Kluyveromyces lactis: one gene and its partner. The protein of the gene in region 2 interacts with the protein of the main gene of each other region in a pairwise test. Links are inferred from orthologs where the notes say so. Each region holds a gene or a part of one and is shown on either strand. Other genes may lie near its edges. The genes, in order: KAR5 and SPR3.

Region 1 (7,822 bases), on a different chromosome or scaffold from region 2:
TCGACGAGGTGTGTCAATAGTAATTGAACCATAATGGTGTCTTCAAGTAAGACTTGGGTGTCAATTAGCAATTCATAATATGAATCGTGAAGTGTTGCTAATTTACTAAGCATAATTACTCATTTACACCCATTCGGTTTCAGGCATTCTGGAATAAGATGTCAAGGTAACAAACTTATATAAAGAAGAGGTTTGCACATAATCACAACGGTAGTTTGCAAAGGTTTAATTTCGAAGTTGATGCTCAATTGTCAATAAATTAAACAAAGCATAATAATTGTAATTCAACAGACATCCTGCCTGTTGACAAGACACTTAAGTTACAAGGTATTCTTATTCGTGTAGTTTCGGGATAAAGAGTCATCAAGGAAAAAAGTACTGACGTCCAAAGTAACGATCTCCTCCAAAAAAATAAAGTTTTAAAAGATGCCTGTTGATATCGCTAAAAGATCAGACGGTAATTACGACACCCACTTCTATGCTGGTCAAGATGAGATTGGCAAGGATGGTGTTTTGAGGATTGCAAAGGCTTATAGACAAAAGGTGGCATATCCAGATTTTTTGCCGGCTTGGAATCCTAATGAAAAGTATCCACCTTTGGAATTCCACAAGTTTGAAGACCCTGGTCTAAGAGCCGATCCATCTTTCCCAAATTTGTTGAATGGCAAGGTCACTTTAAAGCCAATTACTCCAAAATTAGGTACCGAGATTAAGGGCTTACAATTAACTCAATTGAGTGACGCTGCCAAAGATGAATTGGCTTTGCTCATTGCTCAAAGAGGTGTTGTCATTCTTGAAGATCAGGATTTTGTCGACAAGGGCCCTGGATACGCTGAGGAATACGGCAGACATTTCGGGAAGTTGCACATCCACCAAACATCCGGTGCTCCGGAAGGCCATTCGCACTTGCATGTGACTTTCAGGCGTCCTGACCGTACTGAATTCAATAGAGTTTTCAGAGACAAAACTACTTCTATTGGTTTCCATACTGATGTCTCTTATGAATTACAACCGGCTGGTTATACCTTCTTTGCTCAATTGGAAGGTCCAGAATCTGGTGGTGACACTTTGTTTGCAGACACGATTGAAGCTTTTGAAAGACTGTCGCCACATTTCCAAGAGTATTTGAGCACATTGCACGTGATTCACTCTTCAAAAGAGCAAGCGTTCAATTCAAAGAGTAACGGTGGTATTCAAAGAAGAGCACCAGTTACCCACATTCACCCATTGGTTAGGGTTCATCCAGTTTTGAAAAAGAAATCATTGTTTGTTAATAGATCTTTCTCAAGAAGAATCGTAGAATTGAAAACACCAGAATCCGATTTATTGTTGGACTTCTTGTATAGTTTGGTTGAAAACTCCCACGATTTGCAATTGCGTGCTAGATGGGGACCCCGTACCGTTGCTGTCTGGGATAACAGAAGACTTCAACATTCAGCTTCTGTGGACTGGGAAGATCCAGTCACCAGGCACAACGTAAGAATTACTCCACAAGGTGAAAGACCGGTAGAGGATCTAAAGTATTTGAATGACCCAACTTATTTCCCGCACCGTGACGAAGAGGAGGAAGAAGATGACGATAGAGTAGTATACTCCAAGTATTGAATTGGCTGGCCCTACCTCTACAACAAAACCTTTTTAACGAATAATTGTTTTTTACGGCGACTACTCTTGATGAGTTTTGCTGGCATTCTCCTCTTGTATTTTCACTATGTAACATGTGTACGATGTCGAAAATAAAACATTCAAACTTATGGCTCTGGCAAATAATACCTTCTATCGAGTGACAAAACTTTTCATTAGTAATGAGCCCCATGATCCCACTTTAGATCCAGCTAATGCTGTTACAACTACTGCTATTGCGTATAGGTATAGATTCATCGAGATGTATTTCCTTAAAAAGATCTGCAGGATCCCTACCAAAACGACCTGCCGTTTTAACAAAAACGTTAATAACCGTACAATAGTTTGTAACCCCTTCAAGGATGTACTCACAAGGTTATTTAAGTTTCGCAAATTTGATTCAACCTCTTTTGCCTTTAAAAGAGATCTGTCTGTTTCCTTTTCTAAGGCCTTAAATTTTACTTCGATGGTTTGTGATACATTTTCCAAATGGCTTGTAAGTTCAACATTCATGTTGTCTAAATTTTCAACAATGGAATTTGACACACCTCTGACGACAGGTAAAAGATCGTCAGTCAATAATGGTATAACAGATTCATGCACTAGTTTATTGTATTGAAATATGAGGTGTATAGTTTCTTCTTGTGTCTGCATTAACTCATCGCTAATTACTAGATTTTTATCACGGGTTAGGTCTATTAGATCTGAGAAAAAGCTGTCAATAAGTTCCATGGATGTCTTCTGGTGATCCAAGATATAAGTCGACATAGATTCTAATTCATTGAAGGCTTTGTCTGTGGAATTTTTGTTCTTTTGAAGTTGTGCCATGTATTCTGAGTCGACTTGCCGAAAAGTTTCAATTAAGTGAGATTTTATTAATGATAGATCTTCATTCACCTCATCGTTGAGATTGTCAAATGATTCAGTAAAATTAAAGAATCGGATATCAAACTCTGCCTTCATCTTGTCAAATTCAGTGATTAATTCTTCGTCCTTCATTTTGTGATTTTGGATTAAATCATTGACCAGTGAATTGAATAAATTTTGGATCATGTCAATATTCTCCTTACCATTGATTTCTAGATCAGAACTAAAACTTTTCCAATAGTTTTCTATATTTCTTTGAAATTCTGAGTACATGTCAGTAATATTCAAGAATAGCTCAAGGATCTGTTCCTTTTCGAACGGTAACGAATTCTCCATGCAAATATGTGGAAGATTTTGATAGTTTCCACTGTATGTTGTCCACCACTGCGGAGATGACTCCAAAGCATTGACGCAGCTTATAGTATCTATCCCACCTAATCGTTTTTCATGACATTCGCTTGGGTAGTTGGTTAACCCAGATGACTCAAATTCACAAACTGATAAGCGTACTGCGGTGATGACTCTCAAATCTGCATCAACAAATTCGAAACCTTTCCTCATACATATTTCGAGAAACTCTCCCAAGGCATTTTTAACACAGCTTGACTGAGTGATGGGAAATTTATTATTGATGTATTCACGGGATAACTCTGTTATTTCTAGTTGATCGAGCTCCTTTTCTATTACGTTAGAAATATGTGGCAGTAATTGACCGGAAGCGATCCATATGCTGAAAACAAGAAACCACATGATGGCTTCTCGTGAATGGATTAGAACAGTATCCCAAGCTTGGTGTGATCTGGTAATTCATTAACAAGATTTTGCCTCACCCATTTTCTAAATCTCCTTTTATACCGTAAGAATCAATACCAGAAAGCAGCTGAAACAGATGTGAAACATCAACAAAAAAAAATGTCACTATATTAGCACTATTTACAGTAATTCGGGAGTAAGGTTTAAATTGTTTTAGTAATCTATAACATGTGTTTGAACAATCTATCATTTTGAATGTTGGAAACTATGCTCTATTGTTCAAAAAGTGCAGTAGCGTCTCTCTATCAACTCCAGTAAATCCAAACTGATCAATAAAGGTGGTTTGATTTTTGACAACTTCGATAACTTTGGTGATCTCTTTGACAGGTTGTTCGTTGATAATGGTCTGTACTGCTCTAAAGTTAGAGTTAGTGAGTAATGCTATGATAAAAGCAAGAAGATTTGCATTCGGTACAGTTCCATTATTGTATGCCTTAATTCTATAATATAATGAAGAAATGTTAAGACTATTGTCCACTTGAGAGTCCTTCAACTGTGCGATTCTAAGCACGAAGTTGTTGACACAAGATTTTGCAATGTCTTTAGAGTATTTTGATTTGAGGGCTAAGTCCAACAAAGCAAATATCTCTGATTGGTGAATACAGTATGGTAACAGGAGATCAGTCATTCTGCATGTTAAATTAGAGGCGAATACCGGGGAAAGTACGTGCAAAAGATAAAGTTTTGATTTTCTTTCAAGTGGAACAATGCCTGCATCTGTTTCCTGACCAGCCTGTCCGACGAGTTCAATGTATTCTTCTATGGACGGTAGAGATGGCATAATACGGCGAGATGCCAAAGTTTCTAGTAAAATCCGCGACACCTTGATATCCTTACCCTTTAAGAATGTATCAAAAAGCTTATCAAGTTGAACATTGTTGAGATTAGTTATTATATTTTGGTTTAAAGATTCCCTGCTACTCTTTATCACGTTCCACAGTAGGTTAAGGGCTGGTGTATCAATTTTCGTGAATAACTGTTCTCCCGAGAGAACCCATTGAATCAATAATGTGTTGAGCATATCAATATCATCTATTTCCTTACCAACATATTTTGGTAAAGTTTTCAAGGTGGCCTTCCATTGCGGAACTGTTAAGTTGTCTCTCTGCAATATGTACAAAAAAATCTCCTCCAAATAGATAACTTCCTGACCTTTATGGAATATGAATAGCTTGCTCAATTCACTGTCTAATGTCTCGAATGACAGCTGTGGATGGCTGTTCAAAAAGTTGTCTAATTGTTTAACAAATGGAGACTCCGAGGTCAGTTTCGTTTTTCTCACTTTTGGTCCGGAGTCTGATGAAGTAATGTTGACTTTATGAAAGAGACGGTCTCCGGATTTATGTATTCTCTGAACCCATTTTGATACATCTTTAACTGTGTCAAAACTCAATCTGGATTCCACTAGAGTAGATTCACTTGTCACTGGGTGTCTCACAAATGCTGGTAATACCGGCTTCCCATTGAAAAGTTTTGGATTCCTTTCAGTGATGCACAAAGCTGTGCGTTCGGTAGCATTAGGATATTGGTAGAATGGATGTACAATCTTGTTAGCTGCTGGAACCACGTACTCAGGTAGATGTCCCCATTCTTCATCTGCTACTTTGAATTTGTTTTTTGGAACCAGTAGCGTCTTGCCCGGTTGCAACTTATTAGCAGCTCTAGAAAGTATACTCATATCACGGGAAAAAAGATGAGAGAGTGAAATGTAGATAGTAGATGCAGTGGTTAACGTCGTAGCCACAGATAATATATAGTTTTCCCCAGATGTGATTGGTGAACGGTCCCCTATAGGTCTAACGCTGTAGGTTGAGTTTATCTACCATGCTGAAATAAAGCTTTTTTTTTCAGTTTCGAAGGTGCTTGAGAAAATACAAGTTCAACACTGTTCAAATCATCGTGGAATTACAATTAAGAGACGCAGCCCAGTAAAGAGCACCCTGTTCAAAGAATATGATACTCTTTTACTACACCGAAGACAGCATTAGTTTATATATATATATATATAAACTAATTTTCTCTTGATGGTGTTATTCCTTCTCTATGTTAAGGCAATGATGAGAATTTGTCACTGCTGATAAATGGATATCGTTCCAGTATAGTATTGAATAATAGACTAATCGTTTATTATGAGAGTTCCTCTGTAACGCTTGAAAGTGAAGCAAGAGAGTTAGGTGTGATATACATTCAGGACTTCTTGTCAGCCATCATCTTATGCCAGATGTATCAACAATATCAGTTTTTTTTTTCATTGGCAATATTGAATCGATGATGAGCTAAGAAAATTTTCAGCAGAAACGTAAATAGTAGCTATTTCCAGAGATGAGATGCGATGAGCTATGGAAAATTACAAGCTTGGTTTTGTCAAAGGTCTTTTCAGCTTTCTTGAGTTGAGATTATTGCTATTATTGCCAACCACTTGCTGTAAGGAGCTAGCAGTGAGGATCTACAGCTTCCTTATTTGTTGACCCACTCGAGTTTGATTCAACTATAGACCTATCACTCAGATGGGAAAGAAGAGTAAAGCGGTTCAAGACCGGCAGAATGGGAAGTCCATTGGAAAGAAGAAATCCAATGCAAACCCGTTAAAACGTCACGCTGGGAAGAAGACCGTAGTTACTTTTGATGACCATCAAGATGGAGATACTGGGGATTCGGATTCCGAAGCCTTGGATCATGTGTCAAATAAAGAGTTAAAGACAAGGGCACTGAGGTTATTGAAAGGGCGTGAGAGTTTACCAGTATTCCAGAATAAGGAAAAGATCGTGTCTCACATTAAAGCTAATCCAGTTACCATATTGATTGGTGAAACAGGTTCTGGTAAATCTACACAAATTCCCCAATTTTTGATGGATGAGATTTCTCCGATGCACAAAGGGGCCATAGCTGTTACTCAACCACGTAGAGTTGCAGCAATCAATCTTGCAACTCGGGTGGCGCAAGAGCACGGATGTAGAATTGGTCACGAAGTTGGTTATTCTGTTCGGTTTGATAATAAAAGTCACAAGACAAGAACTAAATTGAAATACTTGACAGATGGTATGTTAATCAGAGAATTAATGCTGGACAAGAACCTATCCAATTATAAATGCATAATCATAGATGAAGCACATGAGAGAACTATATTGACGGATTTGATTTTAGGTTTTTTGAAGGAACTTCAACTGACCAAAAGGAAAGATTTGAAAGTAATAGTAATGTCTGCCACATTACAAGCAGATCTATTCAGCAAATTCTTTTCGAACGCACCTATACTATTCGTTGAAGGCCGCAAATTCAAAGTAGACAGATATTATCTACCCAGACCTTGTGAAGATATAGTGGATAGTGTGGTACGCTGTTCAGTTCAGTTAAACAGTTCAGAAACTACAGGAGATATACTCTGTTTTTTACCGGGGCAAGAAGAGATTGATAAAGCAGTGGCCATTTTAAACAAAATCATTCCATATTTAGACGAATCTGTACCACGCATCACAGCATACCCACTTTATGCTGCATTACCACCAAAAGATCAAGCTAAAGTCTTCGAACCTTTAAAGGGATTCAAAAGAAAAATCGTATTGGCGACTAACATTGCGGAAACATCTGTTACCATTCCTGGAGTTAAATATGTGATAGACTGTGGATTAAGGAAGGTGAAAGTTTGGAGGCATCAGTTGGGGCTAGCTACGTTACTAACTGTTCCTGTTTCAAAGGCTAGTGTAGCACAAAGAGCCGGTCGTGCAGGCAGAGAAAGTTCAGGTAAATGTTTTAGATTATTTACAGAAGCTGATTACAAACAACTGCCGAAACAATCTGAGTCCGAAATTACTCGATGTGAAATTACGTCCCCTATCTTGATGTTGAAACAGTACGGCGTACAAGATATTGTAAACTGGTCGTGGCTAGAACATCCAGGGAAAGAAGCTATTATCTCGGGGCTAAAAGAATTATATGAACTTGGTGCTCTCAATGAACAGGGTCGTGTCACTGATAGAGGTCGCAAGATGGCGCTATTACCTTTAGCACCACATCTAAGTAACGTTTTGATTCATGCTCAAGAGACTCAAGTATTGCCATACGTCATAGATATAGTATCATGTCTGAGTGTTGAAAACTTGGTGTTAAACCCATTGCCTGAGGAACGAGATGAGGTCAACGAAAGAAGAAGGGCATTATGTACCCTAGGCAGTAAGCACGGTGACCTAATCATGCTAAAAGAGTTATTCGACATGTATCAATCATTACAAAGCAATTCGGAGAAACAAGAATGGTGTAAACAGTTATGTGTATCTCAGCGTGGATTCAAAAACGTGATTAAAGTCAGAGAACAGTTGACAGGGTATATGAAGAGACTGTACAATGAACCGGTAGAAATTAAAACAAAACAGGACACCCTACAACCAGAAGAAGACATTGCTACGAATCTGTTGCAGCCGCCAGACATTGCGGGTGTTTTAAAATGTTTCCTATATGGGTTTGTCAAGAACACTGCAATTGGAATGCCTGATAAATCTTTTAGAACAACGCCAACAGGGGA
Region 2 (8,087 bases):
GACTAGACAGGGTTTCCAATGCCTAATCTCAAGTCATATAATCTTCGCATATATTTCTATAAAGAAAAAGAAGAGTAACCGAAGACAACTCTTACACACATCAACCGTGAAGAACACTTTCCTCGCCATTCATGTATGTTGAGTGTCAGCCAGTATATTTACCCTCTGTTGGTCTTTTTAACTTCCTACTTTCCATTACGATTAGTTGATAGTAAAGAGATGTAACTGTAGGCAGTTTTGGATTTTTTATACAAAATTTTTTTAAACCTCTGTTGTTTATTTTTACCCGGATATGCGTCAGTTCAAGCACTTCAAATAATGTCATTAGGGCAGATAGAAACAAATTATTCCGGCAGGATGATAACTGAACTGATTATCAGAAAAAATATCAAATTTATTATGTTAATGACGTATTGAGCATACTATTCTATATCTTTATTTATTTTTTTATGTCTTCCGATTTTCACTGAAATGGATAAACTGTGCCTTTCTCAAGCAAAAGACTTTCATCTAGCTAATTCAGAATGTGAAGATAATCCAAGTTTAGAAAATCTCCTGGGCCTCTGTTTATTCACCCTTGTCTCCAATTCATTGCATTCGGAACGAATCTGTTGGACTATTGTATGAAGATCCTCGATCTCGTGGTTGAATAAATTTTGCTTGTTTAGCAAATCCTGTTTCCAATCCTTGAATCTTTTTTCTTCCATTGACACAATCTCGCTAAGCCGTTTCTTTGCTTCCCATTGCTTATGGATAAACTCAGGGGACCATTCGATAATCAAATCATCCATAAATTTCTTGTTGAAGGCTTCATAGAATTTATAGTTTTCTAATCCATTCTGATCGGGATTATCAAGATCTAAGTTAGTCAAATCCAAATGATCTGGACAGTTGGTCTTAGCCTGTTGAATTCTTGATAATAAGATATGAGAACGACATTTTTCGTAGTAATTTTCACATCCTACAGCGAAATCAACAAGATTTTTAGACATTAACACTGTTCTTAAAGCAGTAAATTCGGAATGTAGCGGATTCTCAACTTCCACATTTCCCCATTTGTATTTTCTACCACGTACCAATTTCCCTTCGTTATTTGTTACCATTTCATCGGAACAAACGATACCGAACGGATACGTATCGAATATTGTTTGGCAGTTGGGATGGTTTTGATCCAAGAAAGAACAAACTTTTATCTCTTGCTTTTGAAGAGTTTCTCTGATTTTCCTCTTATACATTTCTAAGTCAGCCGAGGTTAACCCATCAATTTTGGCGATAACAGGGATCAAATTAACCCTTTTAGAAATTTCTTCCATTGCCGCAATGTCTAATGCACTCAAGCCATTTCTGGTCAAGTTTATGAAATATAAGCAACAGTGAATACGGTTATCCTTAAGGGAAGCTCTCAATGGCTGCTCTTCTTGAAAGATATAAGATCTATATTGCTCATCAATGTAATTTACAATTGGTGACCAAGAAAAATTATTGTTTGCAAGGTCGCCAAATCCAGGTGTGTCAATGACAGTATATCTCAAGGTAAACCCATTTTCAACTAACTCACTCTCATGGCGAACGATTTTCGTTGTCTTTGTGACTCCTCTTTCTGTCATATCAGATTCCCATACAGTAGGTAGAAGTGAAGTTCCGAACAAGGTATTGATGAAAGTTGTCTTACCTAATCCAGATTGCCCTACTACCATCATGGTGAATTGAACACCGTTTTTTTCAATGAAAGTTTCCTTTTGTAGAGGAATAGAATCGATACCAATGTGATAGTGTTCATCAATAACAGACGGAGTGATAAACTTCGAGCAGTTCTCTTGAGTTGTATTGGCTGTAGAAGAATTCATGACCGAATTTAGCGTATAGAAGTCACCTTGAACGTTTATATCCACATCTAGACTCTTCAAAGCGCTGTTAGATTCTGTGGAATCAGCTTCGAACAATCGTCTAACCGAATCGAGCACCTCTTTTTTTTCTTGAGACTGCGGTTTCACTTCAGTACATTCTTCTTCAGGTTGCTCGTTAATGACTTCCAGGTTATCTGCATTCGAACCATATTTTGCTGGTCCATAGGAAATGGAATCATATTCAACACCAGTTGCTTCAATATAATGATCCATTGATGAACCCCAGCCATTCTTAGTTGAATTCATTGCTTTACCGTTCGAAGCCTCCTGGTAAACGTCAACAAATGTAACACTTCCACGATAAATCCAGTCACTGGGGGGTCAGTTCCTTGTTTTACTACTCTTATACTATTATAGATTTTTTTCTGTCGCTGGACACAAAAATCAAAAAAGTATTGAAATAGAAAAATTAGTACTTTATGTCACTACAGATATTTCATATGCCAGTGATTTTTTCTTGTTGCTCGAAGTGACTCTGCTCATCGCTCTAGTCTGAGGATGTAGTTTTTTTTTAGCTTCGAACGAGGGAACAAGCTAAGTGTCGCGATCTTCTTCAGCTGGATAATGAAAGTGTAGAATAATTAAAGATTAATAGAATATTTGTTATTCGATAGGAATTACGGTTCCTGGTGAATCTGCTTCACCATATAGTACATTTTTTAGAATTAATGTGGCAAGAATTTGCCTAAGTACAAAGTTAGATCTATGAAATCTTTGTATGCAATGGTTGCAGTCCCTTCTTGTTGCAAGTCATACTTACGGAAAACTTTGGTTAGTCGCATTAACCATACTAACGTTTCAACAAATCTATCAAACTTCATTTCTTTGTTTAGCCTTTGCTGGTCAAAGTATTCCGCATAGCATTCAAACAATTTCTCACTAACTTCAAAAGGAATTAGATATCCCAACGATTGGACAGCTTTATGAAACTCAGCCATCGTTAGCGTAAATGAGCCGTTGATATCGTTATCTACAAAACATTTTCTCCATTTTTTAACTCTCTTGTATAACGAAATGAATTCATTTAAGTTGACAGTACCAAATCTAGAGCCACCAAACAAGTTTATTAGTGATTCAATTGAACTTGTACAAAATTTCGACCCATCATCATTCTGTAACAAATTATGCAGTTCGTCTGCCGTGAGTCTGCCCATGTTTTTCAAGTCATGGTTGTTGAAAAGCTCGGTTGCGATTAAGTTATCTTGTTGTTCTTGTTGGGACTCTTGTGATGCTATAGAACCTGCGCTAGATGCGGCCAGTGGCTGATTTTTGCGATACTGTACTTGAGGTGCCGATGAAGACTGCATAGAGCGTGGTGGTGGAGGGTTTGGGGCCCTTATTGAGATATTTTGTGGTGAAGAATGCGGTACTGTTGCTACTGGATGACCTGCAGTTTGACTTTGATAGTAAACCTGTTGTGGTGGAGCATAAGTTGACATACTGGCGGAACTACCATTATGGGCAGGCATTTGAGCCATCACCCTGGAAGGTGCAGGTGGCTGTTCATAGCTCGGTACCCTTGGTTGAGATCTTTGTAGCCCAGGTCCTGCTCCGTGTTCGTAACCAGACATCATGGTTCTCTGCTGTGGCAGTTGTGATTGTTTTTGATAACTTGAATCCAGTGAGTATGACGAAGGTGCATGGTGAATGGATGGGTTCACAGGTACTGGCTGTTGTTGCAGCTTTGGATTGATACCATATTTCATCTGCCGGCGTCTTCTCTCTACCTCTTCTCTCCTTTTACCCTCTTTCATCGCTTCTTCTGGGGTCGCGTACAACTGTAATTATTAAGTGTTTAGGAATGGAAAGTTAGTGACAATGACATTATTATCGGGGGGGGGGGGGGGGGGGGGATGGGGAGCTCTTACCCTCATTAACCTTATAAGTACTTCAATCGATACATACTGGTAATTCATCTCCTCCGGAGTAATTTATTTTGTTTGGAGCCATGATAGGGTGATAAATCAGAATGCTACTATATTGAACAAAAATTCACAACATTCAGCTTCAAATTAGTATATGACTCGGGTTTTATCACTCTAATTAATGCTAAGATCTATCAGTGCTACTGTTATCCATTCACGAGAAATCAAACGGGATATATTTCATTCTAACAGCTCTTGTTTGCTAAGTGTGTTGTTGAAAGTTTATGTTTGGATTTATTTTTAATTTCCGAGATAACTACTGAATGAAAGAATGTCGAAAACCCTGACGATGAAAATATACAAAACGATCGGCAGCAGAGAGAGGAACCAAAAATAGCTTCTGTACAGGCTTGAAAAAAAACACCAGCTATATGTTGCTTTATGAGACTATAAAAGACAATATACAGTTACGTGAGAGTATGGATTATGTGAAGTTTTTTGGAGCAATGTAACGACACTGCAATAGACCCAAGAAAAATAGTAAAATGACAAAAGGATACTACTCCTCACATTTATAAGTATGTGATTTATAGTAATAATAATATTGGAAAATAAAAATGATATCATGTGCGATAATAACGTGTTAACCCATTTGAATATTGAATAAAGAACCGACAACTATGTTTGAGTAAATTTAAGAAAAAGGAATCCAAGGATATTCATTTCCTCAGGAAATGAATAACAACTGAGGTTCCACATCTTGCTCACTTGTACGACTTTATTGTAAATTAATACGAATCCAAACAGTTGACATTAACAACGTTTTACTGACAGTATGATGAGAAAATACGGGTAAAACACAACTTCCCCATCACACAAAGTCAGGCCATGTCTCAGTCAATTTAGTACTTCTTACCTTGTGGTCTTTGGTCACCAGATTGACCAGCCAAGTAAGTAGCTGGGAAGATGTGTTCTGGCAAGTTCAAGTACTCTCTCAAGTAAACTACACCTTCTTCAGTCAAGGTGTAGTAGTAGTATTGCCATGAGAATTGAGTCTTGACAAAACCCTTGGAAGTCAAAGATTGCAAAGCCTTGATGACAAACAAGTTCTTGGTGTCAATTTCTTCATGCTTTGGTTGGTTGAAGTCCTTCTTGGCAACCAAGACACCTTCTTGGAACAAGTGTTGGTAGATCTTCTTTCTGTCTTCCTTTGGAATTAACATTTTGTTCTGCTGTTGCTTACTTGATTGAACTTACTTTTCTCTGAAACAGGTTACAAAACACATAACATAAATTATAAAACAATAAGTAAGAACTAAATTGTACAAATGCTAATACCAATTATAAAACTAACTGTCAATAACCAAATGTAAGTTGTAATTCCTCTATAATTCATTGAAACTTTTCAAACATCGACAAAATCAAAAAAAAAAAAAAAAAAAATTGAACTGATCGTTAACGTAACTAAGTCTGTAGCTTGCAGTACATTATGGATTTCAGATTGTTAGACAGTTAGCAGTGAATCGATGAGGTACTTTCCCATCTCTACGGCTATTTGTAAGTGAGTGATTCCTAACGTCAGCTTGTACGATATACTCTGTGAGGAGACCTGACATTTGCTTGGGTTCGGTTTCTCTAATGGTGAGATTACAATTTCCCCATTTGATAACTTTAATATCTTTCTAAATGTATGGGTGTTCCGAAAAGTGGCGTTTTGTTTTTGGATGTCCAGGTGTTTTGCAATTGGCCAGTCCCTCGTATTTGTATGTCACGTGTGTGTTATTCTGTCTCATTTTAGGTTGATATCTCTTTATATGAATTAAGGACAGCATCGTATGGCACTTTGTTCCGCTTTGATATATATACCTTACAAAGGGATTCTTAAGTGTACACTCTTCTGGTAATACAATATCATCACACTAAACTTCTGTCATTTCCGATTTTCCCATGCCATTATCATTACCTGAGGAATCAGGGTTTGCCTCTTTTGAGTCCGGACTAAGAGACAGCCTTACCAATAAGATCGAACAATGGAAAACTATAACACTGAACCTAATTTATAGCTTACGACGATTCAAAATATTGAAGATTACGATTATACATTGGTCCATTTTGTCTACTTGGATTGTTCTTCTACTGCACTTCACATCTGTTTACGGGTCTTTATACCAGTCTTCTGCATTGTTAGCCACCATGTGCACCAATGTACTCTTGTTCGGAACTTCAGATTGCTTGGCACAATGCATTTCATGTTTCTTATCATACAAAGTAGACCCGGTACCTGAAGTTGTCGATAAGGTAACTAGGAATTTAGTTGCAGGACTCTCGTTCCGTCGCACGGAATCCTTTGATGATAATTATAGTGACAACGTCTCGATATTCAACGACTATGGTGTCGAGAGACCTTCTTTCGAGGGTCAAACGGATACTCGCAATGCTAGTCCTGGCATTGATTCAGAGCTTCGTCATGACTGGGATCTTGACTCAAACTTGGATTACGATGCTGATGGTACATCGTCGTCTAACAATGAGCTTTTCAGCTTTTACAGATGGATCTGTTTTATGTCCTGGGGCTGGTTCCTATCATTCTTTCAAGTACCGTGGTACAAATTCTTAAATTATTTTTATACCGAGGATCCAACGGTGGTTCAAGTCCTGGAAAGAGTGCTATCAGATCAATTGGTTTATTCTCCAATTTCTTTATACTGTTTCTTCATGTATTCAAACTATATTATGGAACATGGTGATGCAGAATCTTTCCAAATTAAAATCAGAAACATATACATTACTACGTTGGGATGCAATTATCTTGTTTGGCCGCTGGTTCAGTTCATCAATTTTTTAATGGTCCCTAAACACCTACAGGTTCCCTTCAGTTCATCGGTTGGCGTTCTATGGAACTGTTTCCTTTCAATGAGAAATTCTTCAAACTCCTTGTAATTTAGTGAGACAAACAATACCGAAGAAAGATACAGGTAGAAGCATTTCCGTATACACAGTAAATATTTCAATCTATACAAAGTTTAGCTGTTGCTGCTTCCTGTCAATGTTCTTGTATTTCTTGCTACTTTGTTTCTTCTTGAACAAATGTTTGAACTTTTCGGGGATATATTTTGATGCGTAGTAATTAGCTGCAGCCGTTGTCAGGATTAACCATTTGAAAGTATCAGATATGTTTGTTAACTGGAGCAATTCTCCTAACCAGGTTTGCACATTCAAATACATCAATCCAAAACTAACTAACATAGAAAGAGAAATGTCCAAAATGAACCCGATGTTCTTAATCATAGGTTCACGGTATGGAGGACCTTGGGATAAAACCACTGCAGTAAGAATGTACTGGAAATTAGAGACGAAGAATAGAACAGTATTGTCACTGGATTGCACGGCGTCATCTCCACCGACAACTGGTTTCATATACCAAGAGGTGTATTGAACTGCAATCCATGGTAGTAATTGGAATATCAATATAAGAGTGATGTTCAGACAAAGGGGTACCAATATCTTTGGTGAAACAAGATTAGCGCTAGGCCTTTTCTTCACTAATTTGCTATTCGGCTTGGACCATGACATTGAAATAGCTATTGGAACGATTAACAATAAGTCAATGTATAAAAATTGGAAATCTCCTAGGTTTGATCCTCTGCTGTATAAGATGGTAATGGTAATGAATTGAATTGCTGAGTACAAACTCATATATTGGAAACAGGAGAAGGAGGTCACCAATGATGCTCTACCTTCCTTTATGACGTCCAGAACGCAACTGATATCAAAAACAGCCGAAGTAAATGGAGCAGCAACTGATGCTTCCGCTTCTGATAAAGAAATACCAATATTGGCTGCTTTTAAAGCCCCACAATCGTTAGCTCCATCGCCACAGAAACCAACGTTGTAATCTAATTTTTGTAATTGTTCCACTAATTCGTGCTTCTCATCTGGAGACATTCTGGCGTAAATTGAACCCTTCATTAAAACTGTGCTGATATAATCATCTGGCAAAATTTCATCATTTCTGAAGAGAATACGGAAAATATCACCGGTTATGGCTAATGTATAACTCTTTTCTGGATCGTTTAAAGGCTTTAAAGTGACAGCATCTAGGACAGAACCTTCTTCATCAACGTCTCTCCAAGAAAGTAAATGTCTGCTTTCTTCGAGATTGTCGTTTAAGAAAGGAATGAAGACTCTTTCAGACGATATTAGGCCTGAATCCCTACCCACAGAGACAGCCGTAAGAACATTATCACCGGTACACATAACTGTACGAATATTCGCATTCTGCAACTCTTTTAGAGCAGCCTTGGTACGGGACTTC

Evidence for each region.
Region 1: the proteins of SPR3 (region 2) and KAR5 interact in a two-hybrid assay, tested with the Saccharomyces cerevisiae proteins (2 studies listed by BioGRID). The link is inferred for Kluyveromyces lactis from reciprocal best matches to the Saccharomyces cerevisiae genes SPR3 and KAR5.

Annotation. Positions count from the first base shown.
Region 1 is NC_006042.1:2,422,550-2,430,371, forward strand, and holds KAR5 (Kar5p), read right to left. Parts: upstream 3,241-7,822; coding exon 1,777-3,240; downstream 1-1,776. Other genes in the region: JLP1 (sulfonate dioxygenase), read left to right, coding at 427-1,605; AEP1 (Aep1p), read right to left, coding at 3,509-4,981; DHR2 (RNA helicase), read left to right, coding at 5,811-7,822.
Region 2 is NC_006038.1:717,580-725,666, forward strand, and holds SPR3 (septin SPR3), read right to left. Parts: upstream 2,154-8,087; coding exon 507-2,153; downstream 1-506. Other genes in the region: PEF1 (Pef1p), read right to left, coding at 2,573-3,661; KLLA0_B08173g (40S ribosomal protein eS10), read right to left, coding at 4,675-4,995; KLLA0_B08195g (uncharacterized protein), read left to right, coding at 5,720-6,712; YPK9 (putative acid anhydride hydrolase), read right to left, coding at 6,785-8,087. UniProt on the Saccharomyces cerevisiae protein: Septins are GTPases involved in cytokinesis that assemble into filaments and form a ring at the cleavage site. May act by recruiting MYO1 and HOF1, a protein involved in septation, to the site of cleavage.